Linked DNA regions of Oreochromis niloticus. The protein of the gene in region 2 interacts with the protein of the main gene of each other region in a pairwise test. Links are inferred from orthologs where the notes say so. Each region holds a gene or a part of one and is shown on either strand. Other genes may lie near its edges. The genes, in order: rsph1 and morn3.

Evidence for each region.
Region 1: the proteins of morn3 (region 2) and rsph1 interact in binary tests that used the Homo sapiens proteins (3 or more experiments, as listed by UniProt). The two-hybrid records come from large-scale screens. The link is inferred for Oreochromis niloticus from reciprocal best matches to the Homo sapiens genes MORN3 and RSPH1.

Annotation. Positions count from the first base shown.
Region 1 is NC_031973.2:26,131,568-26,141,927, reverse strand, and holds the start of rsph1 (radial spoke head 1 homolog), read right to left. Parts: upstream 4,671-10,360; 5' UTR 4,545-4,670; coding exon 4,494-4,544; intron 4,402-4,493; coding exon 4,288-4,401; intron 3,989-4,287; coding exon 3,883-3,988; intron 3,730-3,882; coding exon 3,639-3,729; intron 3,317-3,638; coding exon 3,181-3,316; intron 2,163-3,180; coding exon 2,091-2,162; intron 677-2,090; coding exon 542-676; 3' UTR 1-541. Other genes in the region: myosin heavy chain, fast skeletal muscle, read left to right, coding at 8,974-9,177, 9,351-9,494.
Region 2 is NC_031972.2:22,383,884-22,393,606, forward strand, and holds morn3 (MORN repeat-containing protein 3), read left to right. Parts: upstream 1-5,324; 5' UTR 5,325-5,406; intron 5,407-5,548; exon of another isoform or gene 5,549-5,813; intron 5,814-6,465; 5' UTR 6,466-6,488; coding exon 6,489-6,633; intron 6,634-6,730; coding exon 6,731-6,888; intron 6,889-6,973; coding exon 6,974-7,133; intron 7,134-7,221; coding exon 7,222-7,406; intron 7,407-7,569; coding exon 7,570-7,635; 3' UTR 7,636-8,125; downstream 8,126-9,723. Other genes in the region: tmem120b (transmembrane protein 120B), read right to left, coding at 1,778-1,839, 1,919-1,984, 2,102-2,191, 2,282-2,377, 2,480-2,539, 2,624-2,740, 2,899-3,017, 5,262-5,324. UniProt on the Homo sapiens protein: Assembles a suppression complex (suppresome) by tethering SIRT1 and MDM2 to regulate composite modifications of p53/TP53.

The DNA.
Region 1 (10,360 bases), on a different chromosome or scaffold from region 2:
GCATCAAGAAAAAAATATATACCGAAACTTAATGCAAAATTAAAATCAACGAGGCTGTTCCAGGTGATCCTCCTGGAGGCACAGGCTCATAATGTGCTCATAATTTTGGTGATTTTTAAATTCTTTAACATACCGGTAATGTTAGTCGTCTACATTAGTCCAGGAAATTTAAAGCTGCAGGGAAAAACTATGATTTGCACAAGCGGGTGGTCCGGCACTGATTTAGGAAGCAACTGATTTGCTTTTGCTTTGCATTTTAACTGGTGAAGCATACATTTAAATATCAATCAATCATGCTTGCCCATGCAAAAATCATTATCGAAATTAAAATTTGATTAATTGTGCAGCCCTAAAACAAATATACAAACAATTACTTATTAAATGTTATCCTTTTACTGAACATTTTTTAAAGTTTTTAATGAACATTTTCAATGTTTTCAAATTCAAAATCTCTATGGTTGCTAGAAGATCGTTCTGTACGGGGTTCTGCTATCAGACAGTAGTTTTACAACTTTGTAGTTGTACAATCACGGCTTGCACATCACTGTTGAATTTCACCTGAAGTCTCTTTCCCAGGAATTCCTGTTGTTAGGCCTGTGACACATTTGGGAATCCACTTGAGAACAGTGGCAGAGGCCAGCCCATCCCACTCACCCTCAGCTCTGTCCTGGAAAGACTGGAGAGAGGACAAGATGAATCCTACAGATAGAAAATGCTCTAAGACAGAGGTTCCCAAAGTGTGGGGCCCGCCCCCTAGGGGGGCGCAGAGCCATTGCAGGGGGGGCGCGGTATGAAAAGAAAAGAAAAAAAAGAGCGCTTGGACACTGTGGACAGGTTTTTGACGGGGCTCCCACACAAACGCAAAGCAGGAGATGAAGCATCGCCAAATATGTTTCCAAACCAACTTTCTTCCAAGCCAAAGACAGGAAAATATGGTGAAGCATATCTTCCCTTTGGCTTCACCTGCACAAGTGCCAAGGTAGGTCTCCCCTGCAAAATTAGTTTCCCTGCGTCGGGAGCAGCGCTGGGCTCTCCAAATCACGGACAAACAGTATCCCACATTCTTGATTTTTAGTTCACAAACACTTCTTGTAATAACTAACTACTCCTGACATTTTGGACATGTTACTAACATGTCCAAAGCACGCGCTGTGCTCTCCAAATCACAAATCTGACATTTAATGTCAGGAGTAGTTAGTTATTACAAGAAGTGTTTGTGAACTAAAAATCAAGAATGTGGGATCCTGTTTGTCCGTGATTTGGAGAGCCCAGCGCTGCTCCCGACGCAGGGAAACTAATTTTGCAGGGGAGACCTACCTTGGCACTTGTGCAGGTGAAGCCAAAGGGAAGATATGCTTCACCATATTTTCTAGTCTTTGGCTTGGAAGGAAGTTGGTTTGGAAACATATTTGGCGATGCTTCATCTCCTACTTTGCGTTTGTGTGGGAGCCCCGTCAAAAATCTGTCCATTATGCTAGCATTGTCCAAGCTTTCTTTTTTTTCTTTTTCTTTTCATCCCGCGCCCCCCTGCAATGGCTCTGCGCCCCCCCCCTAGGGGGCGGGCCCCACACTTTGGGAACCACTGGATTATAAGCAGATTTAAAAACAATAAGGGCTGACCAAATTTATGTATCACTAAAAATAATAACTCAGAGCAAGACAAACAAAAGACAAAGTGAAAGTAAAGTATCAAAAACTAAGTCACATTTAAATGCAAGCGCGTAAATATGTGTCTTCAAGCAGGTTTTAAAGACAATTTAAAGAAGTGTTGGTGAGGTCTTGATTTGAAGAGGCAGACTGTTCAAAAGTGTACGTGCAACTACAGCAACGGCCTGGTCTCCTCTGTGCTTTAGTCTGCGTCTCAGAACAACCAGTAGCTGTGATTAGCTGACCTTAATGATCTATCCCATGACTTTTTTCCCCTTAATAAATGAAATCATTAAAAAAAAATTTTGTTAGTACATGGGCTAGCTTTGTCTGATACTGGTTCGATGATCTGAAAGTGTGAAAAAAATACTAGCTCAGGAAGGGGGTAAATATTTAACATCACTGTGTTTCTGTTCAAGTGAATTGTGTGGATGTGGAATTACCTGCTCTGCTTTCTGGTATTCTCCATGCTGCTCACAGCCGATGTCAAACACGTACTTCCCTGGCCCAAGCGGCTACAAAATTAAAACCGAAGATAATAAGGGAGAGAGGTACAGTCTTCCTCATTTACAATGACACAGATCCCAATGATATAAGAACTGATTGTTGTTTTTGTTGATTGACACTGAACACACCGATCTATGTCATTTTGGAACAGTGAGGCACAAAACAAAACACGGTGTACATAAGGCAAGAATGGAGCCAAGTAATGTAACTGTCTTTGTGGTTAAAAACAGAAAAATGAGTTGTTTTAAAATGGAAATCTGCCTAGTAAGGCTAGTAAATGGGCTTATCCACACCATTTGTTCTTCCTTAAAAAGTCCTTCTTATGACCCTTTGACCTTTTGATTACGTGATGAATGGCATGATCTTGATGGCTCTATGGAAGATGCACCTATCCTAAAGCCTCTACTTATATCAAAGTAGTAATGCTACAGTATACATACTTCCTGTAAAATTAGACTTTCACTGAAGTAAAAGTACAAATGTTCTGCATTAAAACATACTTCAAACTCTATAGAACTGTTAAATCATGCAGATAGCTGGAGATAATTCACTGTAGCTACAGCACACCATTATGTAGTAGTTTATGTTTTATATTAATCCAATTCTGCTAAATAGGAGTACAATAAAAAAGGAAAGTCCATTAAAGTGTTCCAGCTTGGAAAAGACTCACTGAAATCCCCACTAAGCACGGTGACTAATGAAGCCTCCAGGAAAATGGTTAACTTACTGCACAAATGATGTTGTCCCCTCACATAAATATACACACAGGTGCAATAAATAGAATGAATGATGCACTGAATTTAGGGGAATAAGGAGGGCGGTGTCATAAAAGAAATTTCTGTCACCAAAATCAATGAATAGTGATGACAAATAACACACACATAACTTAACAGTGTTCACAATAATCATGATAATCATCTTGGCCATTGCCACTTTTCACACCATGCACAGGCTACATTAAAACATATTCAGTATTTTGATTGATCATTGACCAATTTATGAAAATGTTATAAAAATAAAACTTACATAGTTGTTGATAAAGTTGCCCATGAATCTGTGGTTAGTATGGAGGTACTCTCCAGCTGACTCCATCTTGCCGTTCACCCAAGTGCCCTTGAACTTAGAGCCGGTTTCGTGGTAGTGATAAATGCCCTGTCCGTGCCTGGAAATCACACAACAGCAAAGACTCAAGTAGCTTTTAACGTATCTAGTTACAACTAACTTCAAAGTAAAAGCATGTCGGTGCTGGTTCAAAAAAGTTCAAACATCTGAGAAGTTAAAGACGTGGCATGCTTACAGCATTTCTGGGACTGCATTTCAACATGAAAAAAAGTCCTGCTCTCTAGAGTATTAATACTGTTGAATCAAAGTAAATTATTTAAACATAAAAAGCTGTAATATAAAGCCAGCCTTAATATAAACCCTGACTCCTTCTGCCATTACAAGTTGTTATAGCAATTGAGATTGCAGTTCTTGTGACATACCTCAAATTTTGCAGCCACTCTCCATCATAGGTGTCTTTGTTGGGGTAGGTGTAAACACCATGACCTTGTCTCATATCCTCAACCCACGACCCTGGCAGTCAGAAGAGGCAGTGGTAAGAGTTTAGCTTACTGAAACCAACATCAGAGCTTCAGCTGGCTTTAAAAACTATCTCAGGACTGCATAAAAAATAATTTTGACTGGTAGAAGTACACAGGACACTCATGTAAAGCAGATTTGCTATACCTTCATATTTGGACCCATCGGGATAGTAGAAGGTTCCCTGTCCATGTTTCATGTTCTGCTGGTAGTTCCCTACATATCTCGCCCCATTCTTGAAGCGATATGTCCCCTTATGGAGAAAGCGGTTATATATAAATATATATTAGTCCTTACCCGGGTAGCATCAGCGAAAAGCCTTAAATATTAAGAAGAATATGCTTTGGGACTAAATATTTAAATAAAATTGTAATTAGCAGTAAGAGAAAACTGCTTGAAACTGCTCGGCGTGTTCTCACGCACTGTCCACACTGTTATCTAATTTAGCAGCTTTTTCTATATCTAAAAGATAATGTCTTTATGCACTGATATACACATACATGCAGAATGTTCTTAGCTTTGGACTGCAGGGTTCCAGCTCAAACGTCCTACCTGTCCGTGTCTTCTCCCGTTCTGATAGTCTCCCTGATAAATGTCTCCGTTGGGCAGAATAGCTTTCCCGAATCCGTGCCTTTCTCCAGCTTCGTTTCTGCCTCCTTCATACTCCTGCTCGGGTAAAAACAAAAGAGGTTTTTACAAAGAGCTTTAGTTCAACGTCGTCAGCAAACACACTTAACACGATAATTATATTCTCTCACCCCGAGTTTATTTTGTTCATCCTCGAACTCATCAGATCCTACGTCAGACATGTTTCTGTTAGTTTCTGATCAACTGTGTTGTAGTTTTAGTTTAAACAGAAGCGCCCAAAACTGGGAAAATCCTGCACCTCTTTTAGCCTACTAGTTTATAGTTGCTATGACAACCGTCGGTCACGCGAGCTAAAGACCCAGACGCGCTCTTGCCTGAGAAGACTCTTGCGCAGTGTTGATGTTTATGTGTGTACTGGACGGCCGCAGCCACAAGAGGGCGCCCGGCTTTTTTCCAAGCTGAAAAAAAAAATACAGAACATCAACAGTGTCTGACAGTCTTGTTGTAAAGTGACAGGAAAAAGGGCTTGACACAGCATGTGAGAGCTACTGCACTGAAAGCTCGTTAACAATAATCTCAGTGGAAGGGTATGAGGTATTCCATATTACACAAGAACTGGACCAAAATCCAGTGACATCAAGTCCTCTGGAATGATAAATCCAAATGTAATTACATGGTTTTTTCCACATTGTCATCAACATGGACACAGGAGGTCAGAAGAGAGGTACAACAATACGACATCTGTTACATAAATAGTAATAATAAAAAATAATAATAATAATATAACAATGTATTGTAAGAAAATAATACTATGAAATACTAGTAATAACTGATATTAGTAATATTATGTAAAAAGTGGTCTTAAGGCCTCAGCTTCAGGCTGTTCATTACAGTTGTCATCATTATTACAGGTGAGAAAACTTGAAAGAAACTACAAGCTGTCTGCTCCCAAACAATTTTTACACCCCCTTCTGCAAGTACCACAAACCTGTCTATAATACAGTAACACTTACAGTAACACTTCTGTAACACTTAGAGCCATCAAGATCAATCTATTCATCACTGATGAAAGTATGCAATTAATGAATCCAAATGTACCAAAATTTAAAAAAATTATTTTCCCTCTAAATCTGCTTAGGTTTGAAGTAGATTACTTCACTAAAACATTTAACTTCACATGATGGGCATCAATCTGGTGTCTTTAAGAGAAAAAAAAAGAACCTGTGACATTGGCAGGTGCTGTGGTTTAACTATCACTGACAAGTAAAATAACATTCATTATAACGCTGCTTCAGTTAAATCACACAGCGCAGTAGTTATGCTGACTTATTTTAATAAAACATGTCAGACTTAGTTCAGTTTTGCTCTTTTAAAATCTGCTTCAAAGCTCCAACTGGCTTTTTTATGAACACACAATGAAAAAAAAATCCACAGCGTTTCAATAAACGATTCAATTTATGAAAAACATTTTTCTTGACATCTTGGTAATTAATTCTAGTTCAGTGTGTCCATCAAATGACACCAACATAATAAACTGAGTGACCTCTCCTTTGCAGCTCTTTATTTAGACAACTTGAACTTGTTTTGACATTAACTCATAAGCCCTGAGATTTTGCCATCTGTTGCATTAAAGATTAGAATGAACTCTGGTTGTAATCTGCTGCGTTCAGCTGTTCCTTCTGTGACTCAAGATAAGGTGCTGTTTAACATTTCTGAAGCAGGTATTCAATAACGTACATGCAAGTTATAATAAAGCCAAATGAAAGGCAGTTTGTGGCCATGGTGATAATCTCTGGCATCGTTGTCCCTTTGAGGACAGTTCCTAAGAATATCTCACTCCTGATTAATTCCTGAAACAATCCATATTTAAGAAAGGGGCAGCTAATACCTGGGTTCACCGGCTGCTTGTTCGAGATTTAGCGCCTCACTTGTCAATTTATATCCATCTAATCTCCCTCTCATGACGCTGTTACTGGTTTTTAAAATAAGTGACAGTTTAACAGCCTATTATGACCCGTTTCCTTGGCATGATTAAACACCTGGCACCATCTGCCTGCATACAGAAACATTATACCAGTTATGTTAAAATGTTGACGTATCTGATGTAGCTAAAGTTGCTCAGCACAACCTAGTTAAAATAAAAGTTATACATTGATTTGCATGCCCAAGCAAAACATGACTTGTGGAGAAATCCTTGTTGGCAAGCACAGCGGGAGTTTGTCACTAGGTTGGTGCACATCTCAGGAGGGGCTTTGGGACACTTTCTTTACAGAAACTCTTAATCTTTTAGTTTTTCTGGTTGGCGCTTGGGAGCTCCTTCCATAGATTCTCTATAAGATTGAGGCCTGGAGACTGGTAAGGTCACTCATGACCTTTTCTTTTTAGTAGTCTTGACCATAGGTTTTGGGTTATCATCATGCTGGAAGACCCCTCTGCAGTGTTCTGGCTGAGGGAAGGCAGTTCTCATCCACTTTTGTGGTAAATGTCCCTGTATATTAATCCTGTATCTTTATCAGAAAATAGACTCAAAGGAAGTTTCCACCTCCATGCTTGACCGTGGGGATGGTGTTCTTTAGGTCATACTCAGCATTTCTCTTCCCCCAAACACAGCAGGTCAAGTTTATGCCAAAGAACTTGTAGTTCTTCTATGTGTTTCTTCTCAGTTGTGCTTGCTATCCTGTCTCTCTCCATTAAAATGAAACTACCATAAAAATGAGAGACTACTCATTTCTTTGTAAGTGAGCAAAAGCACAAATTTAGCACGAGATCGAAGAATTAAATCCTCCACTGTATACCCTCTGATCTCAGCCAGAATGGACATATTTTTCATGAGGTTTCTTAATAGTCAATAAAATGTCTTTCAAAACTTTTTTGCATTTTTTAATGTACTATCAAGGTTAAAAAATAAATAAATTTAAAGCTAAGGCAACCTCTTTCTGCACTAAAGTGACATTGGGGTTTTCTTTGTTTCTGTTGCATCTGTCTTCAAGTGTCTCTCAGACATGATTCTTTGGGACAGGAAAAAAAGAAGCCTCAGAATCTCTAATGTGACCGTTAGTCCACTGTAATCTCTAAAGCCATCCCAGAAGGATCCTGCAGGAATTTCTATTTAGGGCTTTATCAGCTATGACTTTATTTATAAGCCTGTCATGACTATCAGAAGTGTCACCGCGCACCATTAATGGTACATTTCAAAACAATAAGCTTTGGAGACAGGGTAGTGAAAAATACATTTTGTTACATTGTTCTGAAGACAGAAATCCTTGCCATGACATACGAAGTGTATTCACCATATGAATTTTTGAAATATGTAAAAATGTAACAAAATCAAGACATAAAATAAAACACAGTTTTACACTTTTTTTAATATTATTGTTTCATGACTTTATTTGTGAAAAAAATTGTGATACCACACTCATGTTCATCTGAAACTGGAAAATTAATACACACACAAACACACACACAATAGAAACCGTAGAAAATTTTTCAGTCAGCTATGCGTTCTAATGAGCAGTGCCAAATCCATTTCTAAATTTCACATAAGTAAAAAGTTAGCTTACAATATTTTACTCTTAATGTCTTGAATTGGATAAAAAAACAAAAAGTAAACTAAACAAAAATCTACACCCTCTTTTCTAAAGTTTTACTCATAAGGACATAATAAAAATCATTTGGTTCTTAACATGTCTTAATATTAGATCCTTATACAAATACATCATCAATCATTATTTGTTTAATAAAAAAGTAACCCTCACTGCTTCCATATGAATTAGGAAGAATTAAGAGTAGTAGTAAGTATCAGGTGATGCTTGTACTTGCAGATTGCTGCTTGAGCCTGGTTCTGCTGGAGGTTTCTTCCTGTTAAAAGGGAGTTTTTCTTTCCTACTGTCACCAAGTGCTTGCTTAAAAGGGCTCATTTGATTGTTGGGGTTTAGTCTGTATTTTGTAGTGTATTGCACACACACACACATTCCAGTTGTAAAATAAAATCAAAATTCTCATAATTTTCAGTAATGAGATTTGACTTGAGCAGTGACTGCTTTGCGTTTAATAACTTTGTGTACCATCAACTATTACTGGCTTCCAAATGCATTCTTTGAGCTTAAATTGTTCAAGAGCTGCTTTTAAGTCTAGACACATCCTTAATGTCAAATCCAGTTATAATCTTGGAGATCAATGCCCAAGATAACAAACACTTGGAAAGTTTATCATCTGTGTGAGCTGTATCTCTGGCAGAGGTCACCCTCCTTTGGCATTCATTCTTTTCTTGAGCTGCAGTTGCTCCACAGCGCGGATTTATAACAAAAGCTCAGCACCAACTGCATGACATCACATGCCAAGCTAATCACTTTTCTCCACCCATGTTCAATGGGGGATTTGACCTAAATATAGTTGTTTGCTGTCTATGCTAATGCATGTTATAAAAGCAGTAACTGCCAACTCTTTGGACGTTTTTCTGTTTCATTGTCTTCTGGCTGTGACGGCTACTGACTTAACCAGCAGGAGCTCTGATTCAGGTGTGTCTAGGAGGAGCCATACGCAGATTTTCTGGGGTAAGATTTGATCAGGATGATGATCAAATTCATTAATAGATCATCATTCTAACATTAACCCTGGATCTTTTAGTCCCCTGGGGTGTACACTGCAGAGATGAGTTCAGACGCTGACATGGCTGTTTTTGGGGAGGCCGCTCCATATCTGAGGAGACCTGAACGAGAGAGGATTGAAGCTCAGAACAAGCCCTTTGATGCCAAAACTGCAGTGTTTGTGGCAGATCCAAAGGAGCTCTTTGTTAAAGGCACATTGCAAAGCAAAGAGGGTGGCAAAGCGACTGTTAAAACTCTGTCAGGACAGGTACATCTGCTCTATGTATCTCTATACTGGAGATTTATAGGCCACGTTGGCACATTTTATTTAGTTTGTCCACTGATGAGCTTTTTAATGTACTTTACATTACAGAAGTAATATAGAGAGCAGGCACTAACTTCATATATTCTTAATGACAGTGTCTTTTCTTACCATCACAGGTTGTAACAGTGAAGGAAGATGAAATCTTCCCTATGAACCCACCCAAGTTTGATAAGATTGAGGACATGGCCATGATGACACACCTTAATGAGGCGGCTGTGCTGTATAACCTCAAAGAGCGTTACGCAGCTTGGATGATCTATGTGAGTACTGCACTATTTAGATATTGTGGTCATTCCCAGACAATGCCTGACAAGCTGCTGCTCAACTGAAGCATGCAGACCAACAGCAGAGGTGCAGTCAGCTGAGGGTTTATTTGGTCTGACAGTAGCTACTTTTTCTTTTCTTTTTGTCTTTTTTTTCCTCTTTGAGGTTATAGAAAAAGTCTAGGGAAGTGTATACCTAGATCTATCCTTGAGTATCTTCCTGGACAAGTGAGCCTATTCTATTTTTCAAGAAGTGTTATAAATGAAACTAAACATAAATTTTCATTATTTGCAGGCCAAATGCAAGTTCACTGGCAGACAGACTTAAGCAAAAAGCAAACTTCATTCGGGCTGATCTCAGAGTCCAGAATTGCACCATCCATTACAAGTTGAGGAAACCAAAATTCACAAAACTTCAGAAACAGACAACAGGCTTCAGAAACTTGGACAAAGAATGAGGGAAGGACAACCTTATCTATACATAGGACACAGCAAAGTAACAAGAAGCAAGTGAAGATAATCAAAGACAATGTGTCACGAGGGGAAGTAAAATCAAATGTTAAGCATAAATTTAAAAAATAAATAAATGGAAACATAAATATAAACAATTTATTTATAAATAAATTTGGAATATATAAATAAACTTTAAAATTGAATTGGCACAGGAGGATAAGATAGTCAACAATGAGGGAACAAATTAAACTCTAATTAAGAGTAACATGCAACAAGAACTACAAGTTCCCAAAAAGCTAAATAAAGAATAAATAAAGAACAATAAACAAAACTATAAACACCTAGCAAACACCTAGCCTAATTTTGTCCAATACTCATAGTTTTAAGTGATGGAATTTTAAAAAATGGCA
Region 2 (9,723 bases):
GAAATAACTTTTTCTCGATAGAAAAATTAAACTATTGCGATAGGCCTCATCTCTCTTGTCCTCTTAAAAAAAAGAAAAAAAGAACACCCAATCCAAATGAAGTAGCAGAGCCGAACCAATCACAGCCACAGCGTCACGTCACGCGACTTGTTATGTACAGCACAAGTGCCAAGGCGCACATGTGTATTTGTTTTTGCAGCCGGGCCGCCCGGGTAATGAAGGAAATGAGTTTGCCGACTAGAGAAAAGTCAACCGAGAGCGTGAGCGAAGGTTACCGAAAAGAAAACCGATGATGGTTCCAATGCCGGAGAGACTGTCGAACGGAAGGGCCACAGAAGTTCCGTAGTGTGAAGGTATTTCGGCTATTTCAAGTCTGACAAAAAACAGAGTAGCGCGCACTGTAAATTGTGCTGAAAGCAAGTCTGGAAATACAATAAAGCGGTGCATGCTCAATCTCTGACTGAAAACGCTAATTCGTCATTCGGCTTTTGTCAGACTAAAGTAACTGTTAAAACTGTTTGAAAAGCTAAGCTATACAACAAGGAGAGATTGAGAATTTCCTTTTAGTTCTCAGTTTATTTGATATTGACAAAAGTTAGTCAATTTTGTCTGTTCTTCTGTAAAACAAACTAAGATTTATTTTTAGAATTAATATTTTGTTTCTAAGTGGAATTGACAATTTAGTAGTTTGTTTTGTTTGTTCTATTTTGAAACTTAAATGCTTTAGCGGCTGCGTTTTGTGTAGTTTGCAATATTTGCCTTTATTTATCTAAAACTGAAGTCTTATGTTCCTTAAGTACATCTGCCCTGTTGAACTTATTATGGGAAATAAATATTTAAATCAAAACAAGCTGCAGATTATTTCACATTTTACTTTTGAGCAACGGCACATTTAAATCTTACAAATATAGTTATTTGGCTTATATCGTGATATATATCGTTATCGCCTGAAATGAAAAAACATATCGTGATATGAAAAAAATCTTATATCGCCCAGCTCTATGTGAAATGGATTATTTGTTATTAGGTTCCTTATAACAAACAGCAAAGGCTTTCATGCTTAAAACCCCTTTTTTAAACTGAGGTTTAAGTCAACCCTAAGTACTTTTAGTACTGTATTTCATCTATACTTTTCAGTGGTGTGCCTGGATTGCTCTGTCGTCATAATGTAACTGAGCTGTTTAGGTTGGACTTTGAGCTATTAAATCTTGAACTGTTGCTTTAATGAAGCGTTGGCAGGAGAGTCGGAAAAACAGAAGAATACCTGCTGAAGTTCTGAGCAGCAGAATCAGGAAAGATGAGAGGTTTAAGAGCCTTTGACTATGGCATGGTTGTTTCTGCCAGACGAGCTTGTCTGAGTATTTCATAAACTACTCAGCTGCTGTGATTTCCCCCACATGACCATCTCTAGGGTTTACAGAAGATGGTCCAAAAACGAGACAGCACCCCATGTGAAAGCTCAAATAACCTCAAACTGGTTTCTTGAACATCACTATGAGTTCACTCTACTCAGATTACCTCCAAAGTCATCAGATCTCAGTCTAATAGAGGACCTTTGTGATTTATTGGAACTGAAGTTTTGCATTATGTATGTGAAGCTGACAAATCTGCAACAACTGTCAATACGGACCAAATGTTTCGAGGACCTTATTGAACCATAGATGCCATGAAGAATTCTGCCCTGAACGCAAAAGGGTTCCCAACCTGGTACTAACATCTGTATCTAATAAAGTGGCCAGTGAGTGTACGTAAATAAGCCAATTTGGATACATCTTACTTTGATAGATGGAGAAGGCAAGAAACTGGCTCCTGAACATCTGATACATTGGTCCTTCTGGCCTGAGGAAAGAAAAGAACTCATTCACATTTCCCAAAATAAAAACAACATGATGCTGAATCAACAAAGACAATATCTCACCATGTCAGCATAACACCTGACAAGAAGGTGGAGACATAATGGTGAGACACCCACCACCCTTTGATCCTGAAAAGAAAAAAGGAGGAACTTGAAAATTTTCCCAACTAAAAATCTTCCGTAGACAAAGGCTTTAATTTAAAAATAGCCCACTAAAGGATAAATCCTCTGATAGTAGCAACACACCTGGAGCCGTTGTTTATGAGGATGCTTTCCCTTATGGTCAATGTGCAGTAGTACCACACCAACAAAAAGTTGAAGATTTCATCAGTGACCCTAAACAAGGCAGAAAACATCAAATAAGAAGCCAATCCTTAATAAGATAACACCATCAGTCATGCTTCGAGGGGAGGGAGGTTCTCTCACCGACAGTTTAGAAAGAAGAGGCAGGTTATTGCTCCGAACATCAGGATTATTGTCATGCAAAGCTTGAACTTCTCATACTCGTCTTTGTAGGCAAATCTGTGCGCATAAACGGAACAAAGAGATGATAAGAGACTGACATAAAAACCAATCTGAACCCACAGCCTGAACCTGCTTTTGAGGCTAAAAGGTGATACATACTTTGCCTGGTTGCTGAGAAGTGTTACATTCACGTTGCCCAGGACCAAATTCAAGTATAGTCTTAAAACGGAAAAAAAATGCAAGTTAACGAAATAAAGCTTAGTGATTACAGCAGATCTCTCACTGACAACAAATAGTTCTCACCCATTTTTCTTTGGCAAATATGCTTCCATGTCAAAGAAAACATTTTCTTTATCTTTTATTTGCGTTTTGATGTCAGTTATTAGTTTCAGCTCTTTCTCATCACACGTCTGTGCACACCTGTAACGAAAGCAGAAGGGCAAAATGAGAAAAGACGAAGGATATTTTTCATCCTCCATGATATCACTGAAATCGAAACCAGATAATTTAAGTGCTTATTTTAGTTGTGGGAATCCATCGACTACTTGCTTGACTACTTTAATAGCAGGTGTACTTACTTGGTTAAACTGTGCCTCAAGTCTTTCAGACATTTCCTCTGTTTACTGATGGCGTTGCTGCAAGTTGCTTGAAGACTGGTGAGCTCTTCCAGTTTTTGTCGGTATATTTTGTGAGTTTCCTGTGAATAAATTAAATACATGTCTGGTTAGAAACATCTGCTGACACGCAGAAATGAGGATTAAGCACAACCAGCTAGGACTTAAAGATGAATACAGCCACAAATTAATCACTCAGGTTTACTTGCATTCGTAGCTACACTGTCATCACTTTGTCCCCATCAAAAAGGATGAAGCATCTGATATATATATATACACACACACACGTTTAAATTACAGCTACTGTGTCTGTCTTTTACCTGAAAGCTTCAAAAACAATTCTAAATTAGGAGTAAATTACATCATTGGGAAACACGAACTACAGTTCAAACAATTAGTAGACTCCCAAAATGTAAAGAAAAATGTCCTGGACTAAACACTGAAAACTGATGACACATCCATATATATTCATGCTTCTAAGTTCTTTTATCATTAATTACGTACCCATTTTTATTCATCCTATGTATTTACTCATTCTGTTCATTTATTGTCATTTTAATCCTGAGAAAGTACAATGAAAGTTTGCCTATGTATAATGACAATAAAAGTTCATTCATCCATTCATGCTGAGAGAGACTCACTATCCTCTGAATCTTTGACCCTTTAATACGCTGTTCTTCAGTGAAACAGTCCCCGTAAGCAGATCCTATTGTTATATATGTAAACCACATGCGAGTTTGCTAATCAGGGGTCAGATTCCTATCCCCCTTAGAGCCAGTTGAACTCCCTTTGTTGTACCTCCATACCTCACAGGTTCAGATCTAATCACCCAAAGGTTATCTTCCTCAAGGCTGAGCTTATACCTTTTGTCTTTGTTCATCACCTACACGTGAACCAGTGGTTCTGAATCGGCACACCTTTCCTGTCCCACTCTTTTACTCATTAAGCACACCATCATAGGAAACCACAAAAAGCAGGACTGATCTCTTCAAGAGAACATAGTAATTGGTTTAATACTTGTCCTCATGGTGAAATATTTCAAAGTTAGCTACATCACAAAAAGTAGGGAGATCTTCCCAGTATTTAACAGGAAAAAGAAAGCAATCTACATGCAGCCGTCATTCATTGTGTTTCTGCAATCTTTGTTTTATCACATGACCATTTTCTGACATCAGTTATGATGAGGTGCACATGACCTGTTAAAAGGATGGGTTATACCAGTCAGCCAGTACTGAGCACATGATCTAAGTATGCGTTCATTCAAACTGACATGAAAACAATGTAACATCTGTTTTAAATCCCTCTATGGGTCTGGCACCAGTCTCTCTCTCAGAGATCATATAATCATCATATACAGATAAACAGATAACTCAGATGCTATGCAGCTGGCCTTCTGTTCCCAAGATCAATACACACAGGAGGAATCAGCTTTTAGCCATCGTGGCCCCAGTGTGTGGAGGTGAATAACTCCATCTCAGTGGACACTTAAAAAAACAAAACAAAAAACAAACCTTGACTTATGTTTTGTAATTGAAGTGGGCTCAATATTTCGGTACGTCTTAACCATTTACAACATTTTTCTTTTAGAGTTTCAAAATTTGTCACATTTGTTTAAAGTTGTGTTTTAAAATTCTCTAAAGAACTGCAGCTGTTTGAAAGAGGTAAATAAAGCTGAAATATAACAGCTATAATATAAACGGGAAGCGGTTTCTGCTCAGCTTCAGATCCACGTGTGCATAAACTGTGAGGTGTCACAGAAACAGAGATTTTAGGTGAATAATACAGTTTCTTATCTTCATTTTGTTCCAAGTTAGCCAACTATGGCTAACGTGAGCTAGCGTGTCAACTTCACGATGGCTGCTGATGCCCTTAAGGACTCCTAAATAAATCACCCAAGCCAAAAGACCCAGAAGCTACTTTGTGAAGCCACTTTAACCTCTGCCTCAACTTCGGTAGCAGTGATTTAACATTAATAAATAGGACAACAATGCATTGTGCGGTTAGCTAACTTACTGTAGCAGCTTATTCGCAGCAAAGCACCCTAGCCCCAAGAAGACTGTTGCTAATGTTAGCGGTTGCAACACAGCGATGTTACAGTAAAGTAAGATAAAATATAAACGCACGGCAAATATATTGCATCCCTCGGATACTGCTGCCAACAGCGCACTTATTGGCTAGATGCTGGGTTTACGGATGACCTGAGAATGAATGACGAATAGGAAAGAGACAGACAAACTGCTACAGCCCCTGCATGTCTCGACGCCACACTACTCCTCCTCCTAACCTAGCACAAATGATACTATACTCGTTAAAGAGTTTTCAGTCACCTGTAATTGTTGATATTCCTCATCAATTTCCTCCCACTCCGCCTGAAACCTCGGCTTGGACATTGCAGTGTTGTAGCTTATTCAGCGAAGAAGACTCTTCCACAAGGCTTTTCACCCACGGGCTGCTCCTGCTCCGGCCACTCAGGCGAGTTTTAACTGTCCTGTGTAGAGCATGCGCACTTCGTAAACCGCCGTCACAACCAAACGTCGTGGTTTACAACGGATGAAGCCATCAAGTAGTAAATAAAAGAAACTAACGGCAGATTAAAAAAAAAAAAGACTTGTGGATCAAAAATGACATCCAGACACGTTCAACTCAAATTTTTAAATGGCCTCTCAATTACATTTATAAGGCACCAATAACTGTACACATTGCTGTTGCTAGGATACAGCATACAAACTTGCTCTCCTGCTGCTGCTGGTCAGCATTGAAGTTGTGTACGGCTAGTAACATGTTTTCTTAATTTCCTCGTTAAATTGATGGCTTTTGTTTGGCTAAGTTTGCAAGCGGATTCAGTTTCAGTAAGTGATCCGCTTGGAAACACCGCAAAGGTACAATTACTTTGCTTTTTTGCTTTTCTACTTTTCTATTTTACCTGTAATGCTAACTAAGCTGGAGAGCTTAACTAGTTTCCTTAGATGACCGTGTGGCTACTTTTCTAAATAATAAATTACAGTGTTGTGAGTGACAGTTTAAAATACTGTCAACTCTTCAAAGAAGGGCAGTGTTTTTTCTGTTGTATGAATTTGGTGACATGTACTGCTTAATGGGTATGGCAGCTTGTTTGTGCCACTAACAAAACATTTTTTAGCCATCTATCAAGTCAAAAAAAATAAAATATCAATTTACTAACTTAAACATGAGAAAATAATTTTAAATTTTGAGTCACTAAGTCGGGATTTTGAGATAATAACTTTAAATTTTGACTTATGGATGGCAAAAAACTACAAATAAAAAAAATATTTGTTTCCATTTTCAGTGGCAGAAGGACAGCAAACATGTTTTGTTTTTCCACCCATTCATCCATCCATTCGCTTCCGCTTATCCTTTTCAGGGTCGCGGGGGGTGCTGGAGCCTATCCCAGCTGTCATAGGGCGGGAGGCGGGGTACACCCTGGACAGGTCGCCAGTCTGTCACAGGACCAGTGACAGACTGACCATGTTTTTTTTGTTGTTTTTTTTTATTTCATTCTAATGCTTACAGGTTTCATCAAGCTACCACCAGCAATGCCATTTCTCAAAAGACCTCCAACTACTCCCTCATTGTCAACACTGCTGGACATTAAGTCACAGAAATGTGGACTGCGGCACACAGTTTTCTCACCCAGTGGAAACGAATACACCGGGGAGTGGCAGAACAATAAGAAGCATGGTGAGATATAGTTTTTCGTCAGCTTCCACTCAACTCCTGAGAGGTTTGAAGTAGTGCAGCTGTCATGTTTGCTTGTTTGTTTATTTATTTCTATAAGGCAAGGGAACTCAGGTTTGGAAGAAGTCTGGTGCCATTTATGATGGAGAGTGGAAATTTGGAAAACGTGACGGGTATGGTACCTACAGCGTGTTACTCCCAGGATCAAAGAAGTATGTGAAGAAGTACTGTGGTGAATGGACAGATGGAAAGAAGGATGTATGTATGTGACATAATGTTTCACATGCACGCTGAAAGACATATCGGTATGTATGGTCAGTCATGTATTTGTCCACCTTCTCAGGGGTATGGCACATACTTTTACAATAACTCATCAGTGTACGAGGGGGAGTGGAGCGAGGACCAACGGAGTGGCTGGGGAAGGATGTACTATGCAAATGGAGACATCTATGAGGGCAAGTGGCTGAAGGATAAGAATCATGGAGAAGGAATCATTATATTTTGTAAGAGAAAATTTTCTATACATGCATGTACATCGAAACTAGATTATAATTTGGATGTTATAATATGACTTTCTAATTTCTGTTTAAGCAAATGGAAACAGATATGAAGGTAGCTGGCGAGAGGGCAAGAAGGATGGTCGTGGAAAGTTCTACTACTGTGACAAAGGCCAGCTGTATGAAGGCCTTTGGGTGGATGGAGTGCCAAAATGTGGGACCCTGTCTGATTTTGGGAGAGATGGAGCACCAATGCCTGCAAAATGTCAGATTCCAAAGGTACAGTGTTGCAACTGACTGTTACAGCCATGCATCAAAATTAAATTACACGACTAATTACATTACACTGCTTACATGACATAATCATATAAGCACTGACAACAAAGCCCTGCTCCATTTGTACTACTGTGCATGAAAGCGTGGACTTATCTTCTATTTTCAGGTACACCTGATCGATCCACAGCTGGTTTTAAGGGAAGCCGAATCAGCTTACCTTGGCCAGTTCTGATAAACAACAAGAGGATCAAGAGCAAGTTTCCACTTCACCACATGCTTGCTGATAAAGAATTTTAAAAAAGCATAATGAGTTTTCAGTGTGTGTCCCTTTTGTCACACAGATTATTTGTCCTTGTCAGAGGGGCAAAATCCTTTAATCATCCATTAATGTGACAAATTTATCTGTTGCCAATTAAACGTGTATAATAATTGATCATAAAGGGAAAAAAATGCCTCATCAGATTTTACATATATACCTCTTAAGATTGAAAACACTATGTTGGATGACTTAATACAAATTAAAAGAGATTGTCATATGATAAATTCAGTGTTACACATCCATCTGTTTGTCATATGGTGTCTGATCACACTTTAGCCTTGAGTGTGTAAACCCTTGAGAACTTGTAACTGACACACAAGCCACATTATTCAGTAGAAAGCAGTCATGCTTTGTTCTGTTTATAGTTTGTATAGTTGTCCTAAGAATAAAACACTATTCCTAACAACCAGTCTGTAAGAGGATGATCTTATGCTATGTTTACCACATCTAAACCTTGAATAATAGTACTGCCTCTCAAAGAAATACAAAAAGATAAAATTTCACATTATTCTATATTCTTTTTTCTTAATTTTGGTGATTATGGAATATAGATGAAAATCAAGAATCCCGTATCTAAAATTATTAGAATATTTAATTTTGAGTTTGAGTAAATTAATATTTAAACAGTATAAATACAGTGTATCTCACAGTTTAGTTCAATACCACCAACCACAATCATGTGGACGACTGCTGACTTGACAGTTGACTAGATGATGATGATCATCACTGCGCATGAACAGTGAGCCACAGGAAGTCATTGTTGAAAAGGCTGGCTGTTCTCGAGAGTGCTGCATCACAGGATTTAAAAAGTTGACTGCAAGTGTGGCAAGAAAAGGTGCAAAAGAGATAATCACGTGATTGAGAGGATTGTCAAAAACAGCTGACTCAGGAAGTGCTATCCAGGCACTCCTGAAGCAGAGGCATCGCAAACGTCATACCTGGGCTAAAGATGAAGAACGAAATTTGCTTAGCGGTCCAAAGTTCTCTTTTAAGACAAAACAAATGTTGCATTTTGTTTGAAAATCACAGTCTTAAAGGTTTGGAGGAAGAACTGTGAAGTGCAGGATCCATAGAGTCTGAAATCCAGTGTGAAGTTTGTGCAGTCTGTGGTGATTTGGGGTGCCGTGTTATCTGGTCTGTCCCCTGTGTTTTACATCAACTCCAAAATCAACACAGATGTCTGCCAGGGTTTTCCAGTGCTCTGCATGCTTCCATCTGCTGACAAGCTTTAAGGAGATGCCAATTTTCTTTTCCAGCAGGACTCAGACCCTTCCCACAGAGCTAAAGGTACTACTACAAGGTTTGCTGACTCTGCCGTTACTGTGTATGAGTGGTCAGCCAACTCAGGAGACTGGATTTAAGGTTTTCATAAGCTACAAGCCATACTCATCAAAATGAAAACAAAAAATACTTAAAATGTCACCATAAGTGTAATATGTTTTCCCCTTTAGAAATAAAACACCCCCAACTTTTTCATTATACTTTGATTTTATTTCCCTAGCAACTGCATTATGGCCATCTATCAATGTCCCAGCTGCTTAAGTAAACACATCTCTGACCACATCTGGAGTACAGGCTCACACAGATTCTTAATTCAAAATAATCACTTTTTATGTTAAAAACACAATTGAACAGCTATCGGTACATACTTCAAAACTGAATCACAAGAGCAAAATGCCAGTTCAGAATATGTGAGACAAGTGGAGTGCTCAGACTCTTCAAAATAAAGCACTAATAACTAATATTAACATTAAGTGTGCAGCAGAGATCCAAATGAGATTATAAAACTGTGTTAGTGTGCATAAAAATGTCAGCAGTGTGTGACAACACAAATGTCTGGCTTGCTCTGACATTAGAGGCTCTTTATCCTGCCAGCTCCATAGTGCAAAGTCTGTGTAATATAAGGGCAGAACATCTATCTATCACAGCGGGCATCATGTACCTTGCCTCCTAACAAGGCCGCATCCTCACGAAGCCCAAACCAGACTCTCCACACGCAGT